3 linked regions of the Oreochromis niloticus genome follow. The protein of the gene in region 1 interacts with the protein of each later gene in a biochemical or structural test. Links are inferred from orthologs where the notes say so. Each region holds a gene or a part of one and is shown in the gene's direction. Other genes may lie near its edges.

The links. The genes of interacting proteins can lie anywhere in the genome.
Region 2: the proteins of hdac5 (region 1) and zbtb16a form a complex in vitro, tested with the Homo sapiens proteins (2 studies listed by BioGRID). The link is inferred for Oreochromis niloticus from reciprocal best matches to the Homo sapiens genes HDAC5 and ZBTB16.
Region 3: of the proteins of hdac5 (region 1) and sik2b, one has a biochemical effect on the other in vitro, tested with the Homo sapiens proteins (2 studies listed by BioGRID). The link is inferred for Oreochromis niloticus from reciprocal best matches to the Homo sapiens genes HDAC5 and SIK2.

The regions. Positions count from the first base shown.
Region 1 is NC_031969.2:4,477,319-4,484,579, forward strand, and holds the start of hdac5 (histone deacetylase 5), read left to right. Parts: upstream 1-4,255; 5' UTR 4,256-7,261. UniProt on the Homo sapiens protein: Responsible for the deacetylation of lysine residues on the N-terminal part of the core histones (H2A, H2B, H3 and H4).
Region 2 is NC_031975.2:24,768,578-24,776,232, reverse strand, and holds the start of zbtb16a (zinc finger and BTB domain-containing protein 16-A), read left to right. Parts: upstream 1-4,639; 5' UTR 4,640-4,829; intron 4,830-5,088; exon of another isoform or gene 5,089-7,655. UniProt on the Homo sapiens protein: Acts as a transcriptional repressor. Transcriptional repression may be mediated through recruitment of histone deacetylases to target promoters. May play a role in myeloid maturation and in the development and/or maintenance of other differentiated tissues.
Region 3 is NC_031979.2:21,141,103-21,147,993, forward strand, and holds the start of sik2b (serine/threonine-protein kinase SIK2), read left to right. Parts: upstream 1-3,875; 5' UTR 3,876-4,302; coding exon 4,303-4,440; intron 4,441-6,891. Other genes in the region: laynb (layilin), read left to right, coding at 502-579, 684-801, 910-1,237. UniProt on the Homo sapiens protein: Serine/threonine-protein kinase that plays a role in many biological processes such as fatty acid oxidation, autophagy, immune response or glucose metabolism.

The DNA.
Region 1 (7,261 bases):
TCTTCAAACAGCATGATATGTAAATAGTTAACATCATTGGTCCTGAATCCTGGAAGCGTAAAACTGCCCAGTTTGGACTGGTGAATGTTCTTATTGCTAATGTTGGATTCATTTTTTCATACAGTGTCTGTGTTTAATGTGTCAAAGTTCTAAGCTCCCTGATAAATCCATATGAGCAATGCAAACTTTGGCCTTGTTCTTGTGGTTGGGTTACTGTGCAGTGTGATTTTGTTGTTGCGCTTTGAGCTCAGGTCAATTATACTGAGCGCTGGCTCAATAAGGTGCTGAGTGCTGTGTAAACACTGTGAGTACGACTAAAAGGCTCGATGCTTCAGCAGCACTTTCTAGCAGATGTTTGGCTCATCTAAGCTGTCAGTATCAAAAGCAGTCATGTCATCATACTGTAGGTAGCTTTACTCCAGCTGCCTGACAGTGCTAAGTGTGTGTGACTTACTCCTGACTTACTCCAGACAAAGTGTCTGCGCAAAGACCTCTGCAGCTCGCTCTGTGCTTTATCTACCGTGTTTTCTCAAGTCAGGTCAAAATTTAGATTTGGCCAGGTCAGAACTGACAGCCCTGCAAGACTTGAGCTTATTTTATAGAGCTGTGTTGGTTTGAGAGCTTGTGCCATACTGGGCAGCATGTTTGTAGGTACATCTTGAACAGTTACTTTTACTGATTTGTATACTGGCTGTTGCATTAGCATAAGGAGCAAGCTAGATCCAGTTACAGAGTGTTACACTGTGTTTCATCCATCTGCACAACAATATACTGTGTGTGTTAAACATACAAAACAATACTGTGTTTACACCAGCAAAACAGACCTAGGAGGGGTGCTCCCATCCTCGTTTAGTATAACGGTGATAATATGCACATGTCACAGTATAGTGTATAATTACATCATGTTGGTTTTTGCCTTTGTTACACAGATATTGTGATGATTATTATCATCCACACAGATCAGAACACGTCAACCTGATCGTTTTCTACAGGAAATCGTAAAATACTTTTCAGAAAGAACGATTTTGCTCAGTTAGCCTTTTTCTTTCTGAGCTGCACAAACCCTCTGGAGTCAATCGACACCTCGCCCTGCTTATAGAACCTGCTCGGTCAGTGTAAATCATATAATCATCATTCACATTCATTGCATGAATACTAAGCAATGGTAAAGATCACCTAAGATATTAATTAGTTCCATTTGAAGCTATTTTTGCTAACATGCTAATGTTGCTACTTTAATGAACAAGTTTCCTGAAAGTGCATGCTCCTCTGAGTAAAATGAATGTAAATATTTTATTTGGTTGTCATTTAATAAAAGTGAATACATAACTGTTAGGGAACCTTAACAGCTGTGTTAAAACACAGCTTGTAGCTCAGTCTGTGCATTTGGTGGCTAGCATCGGTGTCAGTCTTTCATTACAGTAGCTAGTACAGTACAGTAGCGTGCCTCCACCAGTGTGTGAATGTGAGAGTGAATGAGTAGTGACATTGTAAAGCGCTTTGGGTGCCTTGAAAAGCGCTATATGAAATCCAATCCATTATTACATGAGTTACATGTTACATGATCGTCAGTTACATGTATGTAAATGCATTGTGTTGTGTTGCTACGTAAGACAGCAATAAATAATAATAACAACTTAAGTTTAATGATAATGATAATAACAACAATAGTAATAACTACACTACTACTACTTTCTTGTTCTACTACTGCTGGATATTAATAATTATACTGAGAATAAAAAGGAAAAAAGAAAAGACAAATAAAGCATTAATGAAAAGTTGAATGGATTGAAATATTGATAAAAGAGGGTCGGAAGTGGAACAAATGATGACCCTCGACACTGGTGATGACACAAGATGATCCTCATTGGGATTAATGATGGTGTTTTGGGGATGGGGTGTCATTCTTGGCCAGGTCAGCAGTATTTTGTTCTCTATTCAGTATACTTTATATTAAGTATAAAGTGTGTATAAGTTATTCTTATCTGCTTTTTTGAGACATCTAATGGAACAAAAACACATTTTGCACACACCTGTCATCCTGCCAGAGACTGTATTACTAAAAGTGGCACAATTACATGGTTGACTCGAGCGCTGATGGCAGTTAAAGTGCACGCCGCTTTTTTAAAAAAAAGTAAAGCTTAACAGTTGATGAGTTATGGTGCAGCTGTTGTACCGGGGAAAGTATGGGACTAATCCGTGGACAGATGATTATAAGTTGTATTGTAATAGCATTGTTCTAACGATGCACAAACAACACTAGTGCTATTTGTTAACTCAGAGCTGATATTTGGTTCTTTACCATCTTAGTTTTGCACATTATGAAAGAAATCAAAACTGAATGAGGATCTGATGGTACGGTCACCGGAGCAAGCTGCAAATCCAAAGGCGACCACAGCATTTAAATCATTACATTGTACAAAACATGCTAAATTGAGCATGTGCAGTCAAGTGAGAGTAGTTTGGGGTGAGAGATGATCTTTGAAAGGATGAAAAGTCATTTTCTTGAAATGTGCTTGCTTAATTTGTTTAGCTAGTGGAGTGTAACTTCAGTGTAGGGCCTCAAATCAAAACCTTGATTATTGAACAGTTTACAGTTATTGATTGATTATTTTATACACACATGCTCATTTCATTTTTCATTCATTGCTCATCTCGACTATAAACAAAAATGAAAACTCAGCCTTGACAATGACACCAGAGCATGCAGAAGGATTTATTAATAAGCCCCACGCCCCCGGTACCGGGGGCAAAAGGGAGGAGATCACGTTTAATCGGTTATAACGCCGGTTGAGAAATATAACTCCAGACATGTGTGGTATCCACAGAAACCTCAGAATCTCAGCTACAATGTCATATAAACCATTTCTACAACCACCAAACACACCGCAAACAAGCCGCGATTAAACGAGCAGTTACGTAATGCGCAGAAGTCCGCTAAACACGCAAACGAGAACCAGACAGTCTTCATGTAACCGGTTATAAATAGGCTGGCTAGCTTCCAGGGCTATCACTGCGTAAACACACGAAGTTTGACCACGATCGGACCAAAATTCACTGAATTAGCCGCAAAAGAAGAAAAAAATTAGGCGAGAATAAAATCTACTTCCTTTTTCTGTGTTCCAGTCTCAGTAACTTTGACACAGTAATATCCGCTTTAATATTTACACCTCTGATTAAATGTCCCAAGTGTTGGCTTCATTTTGATACAAAGATTGTAAGGACGGAGTTTGTAATTGCAGAGAAATAATCAATTTAATTGAGGCATTGCATTTTCCAGCAGGAAGCTCAGAAAACCCCTTGGGGCTCAAGAGGTTAATGCATATAATTTGAATGGCAGCAAAAATGCCAGTGTCATGGTGGTACGAGAGGAAAGGTGAGGGGGTCAGCACACGTGATAGAATTCATCCTCTGCACTATAGACTAAAGGTAGTAAATGGTGGTAATTGCACATGTGGAGAACTGACCATCATTGCTATTCCTATGTCAAGCTGCTAGCATGCTGGGAAAGAAAAGCATATATTAATATATTACAAGTCTCTGGCTGTCGTTGCAGACATGTGCTTTAACGAAAGTAATAAGTTTTTGAACACTTGTGAGTCATCCTCGTTTTACATCATCACTGGTAGGCGTATGTTTAAGGGCACTAAATGCTGGGACACATGACTTATGTCAGAAATCTGAGTGGACCAGGTTGGAGTCTTTAAATCGAGTTGCCGACAGTCCTCATGATTTTAAAAAATGCTTGATATTTGCTACTGATGGTGTTAGTCAGGTGAGGGAGACATTTTTCATTCACAGTGAATGTAACGACAGCTCTGACTCCTGCTTTGCTCCATGTGCTGGATCGCATTGGTTAACTTCGTTCGTGTTTGTATATGTGTGAGTAGTATGTACCTGTGCGTCCTTCCCACGGCTTTTTTGACAGCTTTGTCTTGGGACGAGTGATGGGGTGACTGACTGGCTGTAATTTGGTTGTCATGGATACAGATGTAGTAGATACACGCGCACACGAGCACGCACAGACAGCAGTGTGACTCCAGGGGTTGATGCGCCTCAAATAGAAACGCAGAGATGAGTCATCCGCCAAGCTGCTGCAGTACACACAAACACACACACACACACACACACACACACACTCACCTTTAGTAGATGTGTTTGGTATGTTAGACCACTGAGATGTCAGACATGTTGCCTGGACAGTCGCGTCCCTTTCACTTGCTACCATAAACACACGAAAGGCTGATTTTAAGGTAACAGCACAAGTCTTTAATAAATAATCATAGTGTTGGATAACAGAGCAGCAACACAGCAGCCTGTTCGGTGTGCAACAAGACAGGACACTTCAAATTAACTTTCTGTATTTACATTTTCTCCCTTTGCTGTGTATATAGTCTTTACTTGTGAGTCATACTGAGGCAGCCTTAGATCTGCTGGAGGACACAGGGAGCTGTTTACACAGGAGGTGAGGATGATGAGGGAGATGAAGGTGATGAGGAGGAGGTGGGATAGAAGTGATGATAAAATGATTCAAAGAAACATTTCTGGAAAGGAAACAGCAGCGACAGTGGTCAACGCAGAGATGAAAAGCAGACAAATACATGAATTAGACGAGTCCTGAGCTGGTCTGCTGGATTTGTTCGTCTGTTAAATGTATTATCACTGATTACACAGAGCTCGGTTTGTTCTCCTCTTTTGTTTTTCTAATCCTTGCACTCTGCATTTGCCAGCAGCAGAGACACCCCATTATATTTTGTTACAAGGACCAAAACCTATTCTTAATGTGTAGCTTCTGTTATGACTGAATGCTGAATGGAACAAACAAATACTATAAAGAGCAGTTTCAATGAATAATATCCACGCTGACAGCAAAGTGAGCCGTGTAGCTTCTAGTTACAAAGAAGTCTTTGCAGGATTCTCTCTGACATTTTTCTATTGGAAGTGAGGTGTTTGCGCAAAGTGATGTAGAAGACTGTTTCTTGTCCAGTCTTTTTTTTAAAAACCCCATCATGACACAATTTAAATACCTGATATTCCCATAGATAGGCTGACGTCCTTTTTTCTTTCAGACACACAAAACATGAAGAGATTTTCCTTGTTTCATTTGTAATGTGTAATACTAAACAGTGGCTTTAGACTACCTAAAGATACTATCTAAGATGATGTCTTTGATCAGTTGTGTCTATATGTGTAGACATGCTTGAATGGTCCAGTATAATTGAATAGGTCAGTGTTAAATAGTCTAACAAAAAAGCACTTCTCTGAAAACGGTCCAGTCAGGACGGGACTGAAAAATGTCGGAAAGAATAGAAGAAAAATTTTGACAGATCTTCTGAAGCCTGGAGAACGACTGCTCAGGATCAGAATATAAGAAAAAAAAAAGGTCTGGCTCACTGGAAGCAAAATGGGAAGAAATCAGAGGTGACTTAAGACTTATGCACAGTCTTGTAGTTATACTTAATTTAAATTCCATTTTGAAAATGACATCTTTCAACAAAATGTGAAAAACCTGTTGTGAGTTTGTGTCCAAAGCATCTTTGTATTGTGTTTAAGAGATTTTAACGGAAGCCTAACTAGATCTGGGCTGTACTTTCACTACCAGCTTTTAACCACAAGGTGGTGCAAGTGAGGCTGTGTACTCTTTGTTTAACCCAGCAAGTCCTTAAGACCACAGACGTATTGGCAGCCTGGCAAGTGGCAGATGCTCTTAAAGAAATGGTGGTAGTGAATAGGAAAAGTTAAGTAGCCATCAAATAATAACATCTTAATACAACCACTGGTAAAACACTGTTATAGCTAATTCAAACAAGTGTCTTAAAGGCTTCAACTTTTCTTTTCAATAAAAACTTGTTTAAGGGTTAAGTGAATGAAGCCTCACAAAAACAATGATTAACAATATTGTTAATGCAATTTAACAGCAAGTACAGCTTAAAGCTGCAGAACCATTTGCAGCACCAACCTGATGGTGGTACTAAATGGAACAGTTATCAGGATTCCTCCTCTGGGAGATATGAATGTTGGCCAATCCTTTGGCTGAATGTTGACATATTTTATTGGTCAGGTGGAGACTTTGGCCAGCTGGTGGCACTAAATGACCATTCAGCAGATGAGTAGGCTTTATCCTCTTGGCACTGTGGATGCCTGGAGCTGATATCACACTGCAATCTTACACTGACTGTGCCATCCCCCAGTGCCCGCCGCTAGTTAACATAAACACCTGCATGGCCACAATTTGTGCACCCAAAAAAAAGGGGGGTCGTGGACCTAGCAGAGCGAGAAGAGGTCCACAGTGCCCACCCACACTCTTTGATTGACATACAGTATTTGGCAAGCACAGCACAGAAACATGAAAGCACCCACCGCCACCCTCCCATCCCCACCCCAGAGCTGCAGGCTTACTGCTCCCTCCTTCTCTCCTTCTCTCCCCTCTCTCTGTCTATTTTTATCTCTAGCTCCTCCTCTACCCTGGCAGGCTATTTTCAGCACCGTTCCCCCACCCCAATCGCCTGTGTTTGTAAATGCTTCTCTTCTCTTCTCTTCTCTTCTCTTCTCTTCTCTTCTCTTCTCTTCTCTTCTCTTCTCTTCTCGTGTCCTTGCTCCCTCTCCCTTCTATGAAGTAAAATGAGCTGTTGTTGACTTTTCTCTGTATCCATCTAACTTCCTTTCCACCCAGTGATCTACTTTCAGCCTCTCTCTCGGTCACCCTCCTCCCTCTGTCTCCTGTCTCTCTGTCGACGTTCATTCAGTAGCTCAGTGAGCGTTTCTCACACACACACAGTCATCAGTGACTCTCAGTCAGTGAATATTAGCCGTCTGACCAGCAGCTGTTTGTGGTCGCTGTGTGGAGCTCCACTATCCTCTGTCCTCTGTCCTGTGATAAGAGGATAGCGTACCATCTCCTCTCCTGCTGCCCATTTTCTCAGTGAGGACTAAAAACTCGCCATCCCAGCGTTCTTCCATTTCCTTCTCTCTCTGTCATTCTCTCAGTGCTTCGTTCTAATTTTGGAAACATGGAACCTCGGGGAGCGCTCTCCCAAAGCTATTTACGTCCTTGCCTCTCCTCCTCCTTGCTCTCCTCCTCTTCCTTCTCTTCCTCCTCCCTCTCGTCAGCCAGGAGGAGAACAGCGTGAGGATTCTTTGATGCACACAGAGCTGGGGAATTCGGCTGCTCCTCTGTCTGTATTTTTATTGTGTTGACGAGGCTGCAGGAGCTCCTCTCGTCGGTCGCTCCTCGCTCTCACAGCCTGTGGGTGACTGGATT
Region 2 (7,655 bases), on another chromosome or scaffold:
AGTTTAATAAGCTGTAGGTTTTAGGAAATGCTGTCCAGATAGCAGTAAAAATGCTGTTTACTTTCAGTGGTTTAATAACACGGATATGATGTCTTGGTGGGTATTTACACGAGCACAACAGTTTAAGTGTGATTGACCTGAAATTAATTTCACAATCTGTGGTCATGGTAATGAGGCAAAATAATGCCATGTTTCCCAGCAACAACATGGCTCTATTATTTTTTAATATAAAATATATAAACATAATATTTCATTTATTTTGGGGAACGGCAAAGCTCTGTGGAACAGACAAATTAAAAAATATCAGACTTTGACCGCCGACTTCAGCTCTCGTCCTGTGGTTTGTAAGGACGTCTTTCTCTTAATAAACTGCACGTGCCCAGTCTGACTTGTTTTTCCTGAATCTGTGACATATTTTGTTTTTAATTTGGATCTAATTGCTCTAATTATTTTCAATATTATGGACCTGATCACATTCCTGAGTATGGTTTTGAACAAGAAAACTGATAATTAGCCAATCAGATTCAGGAGGACTTTAATCATCCCCAGAGGGAAACTGCAGTTGCTTAAGATTGTGAAGTTGTAAAATTTAGTAATAAGTTTTAATAATTGAAAATGAATGTAAAAAAAATACAATTTAATTCGGCAGCAAGAGGATGAAATGTGTGGATGGCCACAGGAGGTTCAGGGAAGTGTTTAGTCGTTATAACTCTGGGGGTGAACACACTTCTCCGGCTGGCCAGAACAGCGTGCGAAGGGTGGGAGAGGTTGTCCATGATGGAAAGGACTTTTGACATCTTTCTCTGTGCAGACTGGAGATTGTCCAGCTCCACCCCAGTGACTGACCCAGCCTTCCTGAAATGTTTTGGTTTCGTCCGTCATCAGGCTTTTGTCCAAGCAGACTACAGTGTAGGAAACGGACACCACAAACTCACAGGAGATCTGCAGCATGGTGCCACTTAAAATGAAAGTGTGGAGCCTTCACAGAAAAACAATCTTAGCCTTAGCGTACTGAAAAAACGAGTAATACTGCTTGTATGTGTTATTTTATTTCCATTTGTCTGTTTTTGTTGTTTTAACTGGTTACTTTTCTCATTTTATTTCACTGTGCTCTGTAAATCTCTCTGTAAATGTGTATATATGCAAAAATTATTACTCTTACTCATGATTATATTCATCCTGGATCTCCTCGTCTCCTTTATTTGCTGATGTTGAGTTGCACCATCCTTTGATATTTCCAAAAAGCATACCATGTATGTATATTAGCTGTGCACATGCATTTATTTTTATTGAAAAGCACTAAATAAGGATTTTCATTATTACTGATCACCTTCTTTTACCAAAGCAAACAACGGTAGAGTGAGCTGCAGTATATATCTGGATTGCAATGGAAACCTGTGCAGCCCAGATAACCCGCCACTGAATCACACCGGAGCCCCTATTAACTCAGTGACATTTAATGATCCCATTCGGAACCAAAACTTCCTCCAGGCAGCCCATCTTTTTTCTAACTCTTGGTATTTTTTTTTAAAGTGTAGTGATGATCTGGTTTTTATAATTTAGCCCACATCTTCCTTCCCCTCAGTAAAATGGTGGATTATTGCCAGATTAAGGGAGTGCCTTTTTCTTTATCCCTGGGTAAGCCTGCACAGCACGCAGCTCAGAGGTAATGAAGCACTCTGTGATCCGTGCCCGGATGAATCTAAAAATTCCCAGAGCACCACTGTATTTTAAAGGAAATGAGATTTCCCTGAAAGCCTCCGAACCTATGCTTCCCATTTTGAAATGGCTATAAACTGTGGGACTGCTTACAACCTGGTGCAAGAACCTCGACTTGTTGCTGTTTTTAAAATCATTTCAATAAGCACGAAGAGGAAGTTTGACATTGTAACAAATACTGCCGAGGAAGTGTTTGCTTTCTTTGCCTGAGAAAATGATAGCGATTACTAATTCCAATTGAGTCCGCTTATTTTTCAGTCTGACATTTAAATCTACAATTGCCGTGACCTTTACTGACCACCTGTTCAGTCGCTACTAAAAGATTTCTGACAGGCGGTTTATTAAAGCATCCTGGTGTTTTTACAGTCCAGCGGCTGATCCGTGAGGGTGACTGTCACAGGTACTGAGTCATTTATGTGAGTAGGAAACAAAAACTGAAATTAGAACAAAAAAAAATCTGGTTGAGCAATACAAAGCAAAAGTCATCAGCTGTCTGGGAGTTTGAACAGGAATAAAGTTTCTATGTTACCCAAGACTGTCATGCAGAACTGAAATGCTCGTCTGTTGCTGGTGGCTCTGAATGACAGTCCAAAGACATTTTAGTCAAATCTATCATCTATTAAAAAAAACTAAAGAACACTCTTGATCAGTTTTTATGCCTTGGCTATGAGGCATCTTTTGTCATTTTTGTAAATATTAATGATTATCTTTTTCTTTCCTCTGGAAACCATAAGGCTGCTGTCAGACACTGACTGATAGAGGATGCCGAGTGATCTGTTGCAGACACCGAGGGACCCCGGTCTCCCCGAGAAAGTCTACTCTGACCTGACTCGTCCATTGCTTCAGTTTTATCAGCTTCAGTCAGTTGAGTGTTGATGTGAGCCTGAGGTGCGAAGGTGACCAAACTCATCACGCTGGATGATTTGGCCCTCCCAGCTTTTTTGGCCTTACAGCCGTTGTGTTGTAAATGGTTCTTCTTTAAACTGCACCACTTTGCAAAGGTTCGGTTTAGTAGGATTTTAAACTGACGGACTTTTACTGGTAAAAATATTCCATTCTACCTCAAACAATATGCATTCCTTAACCACTGAACAAATATATATAAATTTCAACTCATTTAACCCCAAAGCCATTATATTTATGCACTTTGTTAACAGAATAGCTGATAATAAATGTTTGTCATTCAAAATAACAGTTACAGTTATTTTGGAATCACACAGATTACATATGTCTGCATAGAATTATGTGCCATGATGGTGAAATATTTCATTTGTTGCTTGTAATCTTTAACCCTCTTAAAGCAGTAGATAAAAAGTTTGCTAAAGTTTTTAACAATAAAAGAGAAAACAAAACAAGGGCTGGGGAACATAAATGTTTGCACAAATGGATAACTTGGATAAGGATTTATGTACACATCATGTCCATTCTCTCAACTTCCTTCTGAGTTACGGGCAATTTTTATTTGTGACTTTAGGAAAGTAAGAGCTCTCAAGAAGCACTTAAAGGCAACGTAACAGCAAAAATGAAAATATACTGACATAAAACCGAGGGTAAAGGATCGCCACTAGACGGTGATCATCATTAGGGCAAAACCATCTATCAAATTTATATCGAGAAAAGAGCCAAATTATGCTTTTACAATAGAGAGTTTTATCAAGCCAAACAATTATGAGGTGAGCTGCACACTGCATCGCTTGTTATAGGTCAATGGAAAAAAAGAGGAGGATAAAAACAATCCAGGGCTGGTAATGCACTACAAAACCATTTGGCTGAAAGTCATTCACTGCACTGATCATTTAGGATGGATTTTTATAAAACAAGAAATTAGCTGGCCCACAGCTGCATGCGTAGCTTTGTTTCTCCAGTGGTTTCCTTCCTTCCTGTTGTCAGTATTTTAAAACAAGAGGGGATCTAAGACTCAAGCGTATGAAAATTACTTCTATAAAATCACTGAAATCAGATGCAGATCTTGGATATATTTAATCACACTGAATTGTGAGCACATTCAGAGTTTTGTTGACAGTGACTGACACTTCCATGTCTATTAACCCTTTTTTTCCTCTTCAACATAACATTTGAACCATGTTGTGGTTAAATGTATTAAACTCTGGTTTAGGTATACCCATTTTTCAGACGGCCATTTACTTTGGATAGTTATAAACTTTATTCTAGCCATTACACAGTTAAATCGTGAGTATTATAATTCTGCACGGACCTAAAAATCTCCCCAGTTTCTTTAATATTCCACTATAAAATTTGTTAATGACAACAATAGTGGTGTAGTGGTTTGAATTCAGGATTAAAAAAAATAATAATTTAAAGAGTAGTTTGTAAAATGATAGAAGTGGGAGGATAGGATAGGAAGCTGGAAGCACTAATATCACAGAATATTGATGTGAAACTACATCATTGCCAGGAACACAAATAATGAAATTATAATGTGTTTTGCTTTCTGATTGTAGGTCATCAATTCACGGAACACGATGTTACTTTTTAAGAAAATAGAAATAAAGCCTTTGCTTGAATCATTTCTTCGTTTGTTTGTTTGTTTGTTTTTTTGGGGGGGGGGGTACACTAATTGTGTGCCAGACAGCACAGCTACACAGCTTCATCGCTCCTTTGCACTAACCCCACAGTCATACCTGTCCCTCTGCTACACCAATTTTTGAACCGATATGAATGGAGTGAAAATATTAGAGGGGGGTTTTTAGGAGCCCCTCTTCTTGAGTTTCCCTCCTGTAACGCCGAACCCATAGGTCAGCTCCTGGCTCGAGTTAGAGAACAACCGCAGGCTGTGTGTGCGTTCAGGAAGCTGGAGAGAGGGCAGTGTCGCTCACCTTTCACTGCCATACTGTAACAGGCGTTTGACATGAGACAGCCCCCTAGGTGTCTCACTTTCTCAGTGTTTGTATGGACTGGAGCGCAGCGCCGGCTGCCCGCCTGCCTGCTGCTCGTCTGACTGGCTGCGTTGACGTCAGCGCCGTGTTGATTTGCTAAGGCGAGAGAAGAAAGGACTTAGTGCATGTTCTGAAAGCGGGTACTGCGAACTGCCTTACTATGCTGTAGCCCCAATCCCCCTGCACTATCCGGAATCAAAACGTGCAACTTAGGTGAGTACCAATCCGGGCTAAATGCAGCTGCAGTTTCCCGGCGACAAGTGCCAGACCCGCTACTCTGCATGTGTCTACCACTGTTTTCTTCGCGTACTTTCATTCACCATATGGATGTTTTGATGTGTTTATAGTGCTGAGGATCGGCTTTTTTAATGCGTGTCCCCGTTCAACCTCACGCTGAAGTTGACTGCAAACGCGACTTTGGCATGCGAGTTGGACTTGCGCACCGGAGTTCTGGATGAAAACAAGTGTTTACCTGATTGCGCTGCAAGGTGTTGAAGTTTGCATTAACGCACTGTAGCTCAGTGTAGAGATGTTAATGTTGACGTAACCCCCCCTTCTTCTTCTCGGGCTCGTTAGTATTCTGGAGATCGCAGTCAGAGGACGTGAGGTCTGGCTGTTTCACGGGGAGCCAGACAACATATGACGCCTCGCTGCGTGTGACTTTGAAATCGCGTTAGCTTGTTTTGGTGGAAATTTTGCCCATATTTTTTTTTTTTTAAGACGGCGACACTCATGCTTGTCCTTGTGTCTCCAGACGCACCAGCGTGGCTTATTTAGCCGTGATGACATCATGATGGGGGACTGGAGACACTGGTTTTTACACACGAAACAACCGTAAATCCAGTCACTGTACAGGCGCACTGCAATTGATTGACAGCCAGCTAAATGTTTGATTGGTTACCAATAATCGGCTCGCCGTAGCACGCGCAGCACACTGTGAGGTGGGGGAACTGGTAACAGATGCGATGGCAAATTGATTTGTTATCGAGTGTGTCTGATCTCTCTCTTCCCCTTTCACTCTTTTTTCCTCTTTATCCCTTAGGCAGCTTTCCCGAGACCAAACCCCCCTTCTTTCTCCTTCACTGTAACAAGGTAGCGCTACAGTGTTCATCCTGCCTCAAAGTCCACCTGTGCGTTGATCAAATGAGAGCTGGCTCAAATCGGAGACCCTTGCCTGCCGTCTGTGTCGCGTGTACTTTTTTAGCAGGCACCGGTGTCTGTTTGCCCCCCTCCCCGTACCATTTTGATCTCTCCGCGTTTGTGTCTGTCAGTGTGGCTCATGGTCTGGAATATTGAACGCTGTTTATTCTTGTTGTGGCTGGCTCGTCAAGGCGCGCTATGGCAGACAACTCGTGATCAGATTGATTATGCTGCCTCTCTGTGAAGTCGGCGTGATGTGGTTATTGTCAGCGGTCCATATCGTTCTCCGGGGAGGAAATCTCTCCAGGCTTAATGTACTTAATGTAGTACGTGATGTTTTGCGTAACGCATAATGTTGTGTATAATTTGTCTGGTGCGTCTGGCTAAAATTAACGCCGTCTAGACGCACGCAGCCTTTTTCCTTTATTAATAGAAAACAGACAAAGTCCCCAGACAGCAACTTTACATCCCAGTGAAGCCACAGTTTAGTTGATAACCCACAGAGTGCAACAAGCATTGATCATTTACGGGGCCATAAATCGGCGCTATTGGCATACCTGCAATAAAGATAATGTCGGGTTTTAGGCATGATCTCTGTTTACTGAGAGGCTAATTTCAGTTAGAGGAGAACCTGTGGTTTTATCATTACCTACATTCTACATCGATTTTTGTCAAGGTACGGAAAAGACAAACCGCCCAGTGCCCCAAAAGCCGGGAGAATTATTTTCCGTGACTCTCAGCACTAACAATAGGTGCAGCATCATTTACCCCCTGAATATTCAGATTCAGTGTGTTTAGATCATCTTATTTATATATTATAGAAGGTTTGGCAAGAAAAGGAAACCTTATCGTTTTTTCAAGGTTTATTTTTCCTTTTCAGATGATGTTTCTTCTTTCTTCCTTTTCTTTCTTTCTTTTTTTCTTTTCTTTTTTTTTACAGGTGTGAAGGAAGGGAAAGAGCTGCCCAAGTTGTCTTTTTATTCCCTGTTTCATAATCTTTAAAAATGAATTTGAAGATTATTATTAATAAAAACAATAATAATATTACAAATTTAGACAGCGTGTCACTTCTCACCAGACTTCATCTGACACACTTTGTCATTTGTCATAAGCCTGACGTATTCACTCTTCAGAGAACCTAAAAATTTGCCCTCAGAGAGCTTTTGTAGGTCAAAGGCGACACTAATCTGGTGACCATTCCTGCTTCACTTGGAGTAGGTGCAGTGGCAAATAACTGTTTAGTTAATTGGGACAATGAAGAAGCAGCATAGTTCAGTGTTAAACTGAATGTAGTGGTGAATCTGTGTATGCAATCTAAGCCAGCTTTAATTATTTTTTTGGTGCAGGTCAAAGTATAGGGTTGTGGGAGCGTGTTGCGTTGTTAACTTCAGTAATCAGGTTAACAGGAGTAGGAGGAGGACAAATTTGCGATTTTCAACATTAGCGACTGGGAGCTGTGTTTGGTACAGCAGTGTTGTGTGCTTTTTGCCTCATCCTGCTTTCCTTTCCACCCATTTCTGGCCGCTGCTCTCTGCTCCCGTCTGTGATGAGAATACTGAGTAAGATGCTATTTAATTTCAGAAAGGCTGCTGATGGTCTTTGTGAAGCGAGCGGCAGTGAAAACCCACAATTCACACTTGTTTAACTGGTGTACATACCGATTAGATAACTAAATGAAGACATCTTTTTAACGTAACATATGTTGGACTGATTGGTATGCAGGTTGAGCATGTTGGATGGCTCACAAATTGTTTCCCTTCAGAAATCTACAGTCAATACTCTCTGCTGAATTTAAGAACAATGCCACTGAGCGGAGTGTTTACCACCCTGGCAGGATATTTGCAATTGCCTCACATTTGCCATTTAGAGAGAGAGAGGAAGAGGTGGTATGTTTTAAAT
Region 3 (6,891 bases), on another chromosome or scaffold:
CATGGTAAATGGGCTGGATATTTATACTACATGCGTCATTCACCCATGCACACCTATTCATAAATCACTTTTTTCTACTCATAAATCCTTTCTAGCTAAATTTCACACACATTCATACTCCGATAAATGCGTTGGGGAGCAACCTGAGGTTCAGTATCTTGCCTAAGCATATTTGGTATGCAGACTGGAGCAGCCAAGGATCCAGCCACCAACCATATAAAGATAAAACATGAAGAACACACAGATACAAAACGTATTCTCTGGAGAACTCTATTTTTTTAACTGCTAAATTTTCTAGAAATTAAAATGCAACTGTCCTCTGCAGTAGAACATATGCGTCAGCTGTTATAGTCTATCTATGGGTGAGTTTAGTGAAATCATACATTATGTGATAACAAGATAGATAGATAGATAGATAGATAGAGATAAATTAGGGACTAATCGAATCATTTAAAATATTTTTCACACGCACCTGTTGATTTTGTTTTCTGGTTTCTCCAGTTCCATCTGTGATTCCAAGCATACTGTCAACCACAGAAAGTAACGAAAGGATAAAAATAGCACTACCTGAATCCTCTGGTAAGAAAGGAAAGAAAATATTCTTGATGCTCGGAGTCAGCGCAGTATGTTTTGGGAAACTATGAAAAACCACTGTGTCACAAGCAAAGTTCTTTTGTTCGCAGTATCTTTCTCTGGCAACACCCTCAACATTTCCTACATCCTTTATGCAACTATCCCTGCGCTGCTGTTGCTGTTGTTTGCAGCTGCTGGTTTCTTTTGCTACAAACAGCATGCTAAGAGGTAAAACTATAACTATAAAAAGCTATGAGAGATTTTTTTTTTTTTAAATGCATTTGATTATATGAGTATGTCCTGTTGATTTTAACTTGGGCCCTCTTTCATATTTAGGAGGAAGACAGAAACAGAAAGCTATCCCAGCAGATCAAAACAGTGGGTGCTAGCAACAGCTTCATCTTGCCCTGTGCAAGGACCTTATGCCTACAGTGACATTACCAAACTGCCTCACACTGCTCTGGACAGCAGGATAGCAGCAGAAATCATGACAAAGTACTCCGGTTCTCCGTCCCATGACTCCCAGTGCAACGATTATGAGAATGTGTCGTGTGTGGACAATGAGAGCGGCTTTGTCACCAATGACATTTACGAGCCCTGCAGAGCTCAAAGCCGGCGCTGCCGCAGTCAGACTGGATGGGTGGAAAATGAGATCTATGGATAACACCGGTGTCTGCAAATGTCCGTCAACCACAGACAGACTACAGTTACACTGTGCGGTGCAGGATTTCTAAGCAGCTTGGCCATATCTGCACAGGTTTCACTCAGTTTTCTAGTCCTGCATGTAGAATGTACTGTGTCTGCAAATCAGTGTATTCCATAAAACAGGGATTCTTAATGTTTTGTCCATGACTCAGTATTCACCTACACATGACTTTATATTTCTGATGTTTTAATAAAAATGTGTTACAGTCAGACCAATGGCACTGTTAGCTCCGTGAATCACTGTGATAGCATGCTGATAGATGTAGACACATTGTTTTCCATATTCACCATCATAGTATGGATGCCCAAAATTGCAGACTAGTTCCACACACTAAATAAAGCTGAAGCTAATCGAATCTGATTGAAAAAGAAAAGGATGAGAAGTTAAAGGACTGCCAAAGTGATTCTGAAGAGGGCACGGATGTGTGTATACAATTTCATAGTAATCCATCCAACAGCTGTTGAGACCCTTGTTGTAATCCACTAATCTTATAGTGGCATTACTACATTACAGGCTATGCACTGAAATGCATAGGCTGGAAACTGCAAAAATACAAAACCAAATCATGTCATAAAGGTTCCAATATTTCATAAGGTTAATGAAAAGTGGGTGAAGATATTACAGAAAAGTTCAAGTGGAATATCAAAAGCATTAGTCTATTTATTGTCTGGGGAGAATGCACAAATTTTCAAGGCAAATTTTGGTCCTGTATTAAAGTAATTCAGGCTAAAGAGGCAGGCCATCTGATAGACTGCTGATAATGCTGTCCTTAAAAATTGTGTTATATTTTAAGTTAACTGAATAAATGGTAAGATCAATTCATCAAGCAGCTAAAGATGTAGGTCATGTACAGGTCTCTAAGCTAAACTAACGGAATGGGCTTTGAGTAATTTTTTATGTTTCAACTCAAAGAAAAACACGTTTTTGTGCCCACTTATTTCCTTTGTTCAGTTTAAACCTTCAGCTCTAATAAATTATGCAACATTACAGCAGCACTAAAGTTCTTAGAGGTTTTAGGAGGCATTAATGAAACCAAAGAAGCATTAATAGTTCAGGTCAGCTTGGTGGTGCAGCAGTGCTGCTGAATCTGACATAACAGATTATGCAATTAGCCTAATCCTGTAATATTGCACCCCCACAGGGTTACTCATTTTGTAAACAATTGTACATTAAACTACTCAGCTTCTCTTTTTAAAATAATGTCAATGGATATGATGAGTCAGAAGACAGAGAGGGTTTGCGTGTTGGCTTGCTGCTGTGATGGAGACTCCAACCCAGGGACTTTTTTGACCTTTTCTCTAAACTTGAACTTTGGTGTCATCCCTGTGTAAGGCTTCCTGTTTGGTCTCTGATGTCAGAGCCCAGCAGAGAACATGAGGAAACACCGATGGCTGAACTGCTGTGGCCAAAATAAACCTCAAAGTTGTGCGGTTTCCTGACTCCACCTGATTGTGCACGAGGTTCAACTTTCCCACTGATCTGACAGAAACTTGAGGCCAGTTTAGAATATATCACACCGTTAATCAATGCATGTGCATTTCCATGTTCATTTTTAAAGATCACTCTTTGCGTTACGTATACAAATGTCTGTGTTTTTTTCTAAATGTGCACCGAGTGGGTGTTGGATCGGTGTCTTGGAAAGATGTAGCAAGCCCAGTAAGGAGAGGCTGAGTGTGTTCTTGGAGAATGTTAGACAGGAAATGCCAAAAGCACATCTGGAACTCTTACATTCAGGAAGTCGATGCGTGACAGCGGAGGCCTTTGGAGCACTGCTCTGCCTGCCTGCTTAGCAATCCACTGTTCTGTTTGACTGTCACTACACAACATGAAGAAAAGCAGTGCCAGTTGCAGAGCTGTGCTGCAATTCAGACATGAAGATAGTTTCTTTTTCTGATGTGTAGTTAAGATATTTTGGCTGCATTCTTTGTTTAATAATAATATAGATATACTGGTGGGATCTGCTTGAAAGCTGCTTGAAAGCATGAAGCGTGATAAGTCAAGCACTGGGGAAAAGGAAAATATGGAGCCTCGCTTCAGTTTTCTACTTTTGCCAACAGATGGTGCTGTCATGTAGCTGACAAAAGTTTCTTTGTGGCTGATAAAATGTCTGATTTTATATGAGGCTCTGTGTATTCCATTATGTAATGTTATAGATTAGAAATGCAGTTGCATAGCTGGATTAATCAGCTACACACACACACACACACACACACACACATATATATCTATATATATATATATATATGTATGTATATATATAAAAGCAACACTAGCTGTTTGTTTGGTTTTTTGCTTCTTAAATTATTATTTTTTACTTTTTTTTGCAGACCCCACTCTGGAGGCTTTCAGGCCGGTTCAGACCGCTTTTAGCTCCTGTCTCCCCCTGCATTTTTCACTCGCAGCCGACAAAAGCTTATTAAACACCTGCAGGGCAAAAACTTCAAAGTTACCTATGCGTGCAATCAAGAAGGGCAGGCGAGCAAACAGATTTCAGAATAGCAATTTTACCGGTTGACGTAAGAGGTGGGTCTGGTTGTCCTGGCAACCAATTGGCACTGAAGTGTGGAGCGGCTCGGTGGCCCCGCCCCCTGTACAAATACCCCTATGGCTTTGACGTCAATACACGTCAACCGGAGAACATGATGCCTCTTTGCAAGTCAACTCGTGTGCTCTGTCGCTGATAGAGGCGCCTCAAGCTGAAATATTATAGCTCTATTGTACTGAAGAACGTGGTGTGACAGCCCGCGGGCTCAGCAAATGGCCAGCTTCGTATCGCCACACTAGCGGACAGGGTCGCCACAGTCGCGTTCAGGCGGCCGAGGGCGACACAGAAATCAACTTTGTGTATTTTTAATGGACACGCTTCGAGCGGCGGCGGTGGCAGCAGCGGCGGTGGCGGGCGGTTTGTTTTCCTTTCGTCTTTATCTCGAGCTGCTCAAGTAAGCCCCAGTCTGCCCCTCGTGTGTCCCTGCACGTCTGGCTGCCTCCTACTCTTCCACTGAACAGTCCCGTTTTAGAACAGCATGGTCATGGCTGACAGTGTCCAAAAACCGCTGATCCGGGGTCCGGTCCGAGTGGGCTTCTACGACATCGAGCGCACTTTAGGAAAGGGCAATTTCGCTGTGGTGAAGTTGGCCCGACACCGCATAACCAAGACGGAGGTGAGTGTGTGAGCAAACTAGTTAGCCCGAAAGCTAACTTGTGCTACTGTTTTAGCGGAGTTATATAACTTTTATGCACAAGTTGACACCCCTAGATAGCGAAATGCTCTCCAGCACCGTGCACTAAATAGCATCTTTGGATCATATAACTACCGGCCACTTGGACTGCTCCGGTTCGAGCAACAGCTGGTGTGCCTGAAAGCTTGCAGGTACAGGAGCAGTGAATGACTGCACGTTCACCCCTCTCAGCTGACATCACTGCCAGTAAAAAAAAATAAATAAAAAAAAGGTCTGACCACTAGAGCTGCTGGGAAACACAAACTGTAAACATGCATGCTTTATTATTATTTTTATTTATTTGTTTTTCTGCACATGCATCCGTTTGGTTAATGACCCAGACGGCAGCCACAGTGTACCTACTCAAGAGTGACTGGTGCCGTATCTGGGGCATGCAGCATGGGTCGGTGGTCCCCTTATGTAATTCAAGTAATGATGTGATTTTTTTTTTATTTTATTTTTTTAGTTGTTTCTTATCTCAACACTGCTCAGAGCTTTGTGATGAGCAGGGTATGTCATGTCAGATATGCTGTAATTGGAAAGCAAAGTATTTTGCATGCACTGCTTTTTAGGGGGGTGGGGGTCGAGGGTCTTAACTAAGCTTGGAGTGATATTAGAAACATTGCACACTCTTAGGCAATGCAGCATGAGTGCAGAGGGAACAGGGCTCGGGGTTTGTTTGAGTTTACTTCTGGGTTTATGTCAGCTTTGTGCAGAAGGGCCCTTTCTCAACCAGTACCACGGAGTGCCACGACTTTCTGCTGTAATGACAGAGACACAAGGAATTTGCTGTAAAGGGTGTTCAGTTAGAAAAAGAAAAGGGGGCAAAGGAAAAAAATAAAATAAAAGCTGTATTGTGTGAGACAGTGATAAGACTGGAGAGCTGCTGCACACTTTGATCTCTGGAGCCTCCAACTGATTACACCGTACAGAAAAAAACAAAGATTTACATCATCCAGGCGAGACCCTTGGTAGGTTTAATGAATAACAAGGCAACAAAATGGCTCTGTAGACTCTTATCTTGTTACTCTGGTTATTAAAGCACGCAAAGTGGCACAGCATTAGTCTAGCCAGGTAATCTGCACCGTGTAACATTAACAGCTCTGTGAATGCAGGTTTTAATTTCAGGCAAACGTTACACCAGGTGATTTCACTAAGCGACTACACCTCTCCCTCAGCTGGAGTGGTATTAAAGATGAATGAAAACATGGGTTGTTTTTTAGGCTGGGTTTGGCAGAGGTCACTCAGTGATGGTCAGTACGGAGAGCGAATGCAGCTGCCTAGCTCTGGCAGTGGGCCTGGCACTGTTGTTTTTTTAATTTTTTTATTTTACAGCAGCCAAGGTCAGCCGGAGTGGCAGGCTATTAACTTATGTGATGCCATCTGCCTTGAGAATTTGCCCGGGCACAAGTGATATTAGCATAGTGTAAAGAAAACCAGTGTACTGACACATGAAACAGCAGATGTGGTGCGACGATGTGAATGTGTGGGCATATTCCCGGACAGGTTTATCTCTGTGTAAATAACCTACTTATTCTGTGCGTGGCCCCTGCATGTGATACTGACCCATTCATCCCAGTAAGTACATATTGCAGCTTGTGGCTTTACATACTGTTGAGCCATTCCCTTCTGGTCTTGTGTGTCAGCTCAGCAAGTAGTACATCAATCCATATCTGATTATAGCGTCATCATGTCTTTCTGCTTTCATTGTATGAGCTAAATTCCCCTCTAACTCATTGTCCTCCAGTGACCTTGTGCCAGCACAGTTCATGAGAAGTCTTATGTGCTGTGTGTGGGTTTAGTTTTGTTGACAATGTAATCAGCTAGCACAGATCTTTTCATGTTAGGTGCTCTGTTGTCCCTCTGTAGCAGAACAAAGATTTTGAATCTCATGCTCGAAGGGTCTGCACAGGTAGCTGGAGTGCCATTAAAAGATTTCAATTTAATCCTGAATTGAACACCTGCCTGTACGTAGCTAGGGAGATGATAATGGAAAGTGTTAAACCTATCAAAATACCCATTGCTACTCATCTGTAAGTCCAAACTGTTAATATGTTAAAGGCAGGTCAATAAGTTACAGATCTGTCGTTAAAATAAAAAGCTGTGCTCACGCTCCGTGCAAGAGAATGCATTACATTTCCTTGACTTACTTGAATAATACCGCTTCACTGACACAGTGGGCTTGAACCTAAAAAAAAAAATATGCAGTGCACTGTGATAGTCGATCACTGCAACTTTCCTGATGAAAATTTTAGTAATGTGAAAAGAATCTGCTGTTTATATGATCGTCACGCTACAGACAAAATGCCTGTGATAAGTGCCCGGATGAAAATCCAGTGTCAGACAGTATTATTTTGGAATCAGATAAATCCTCAAACCACATGACTCTGTAAC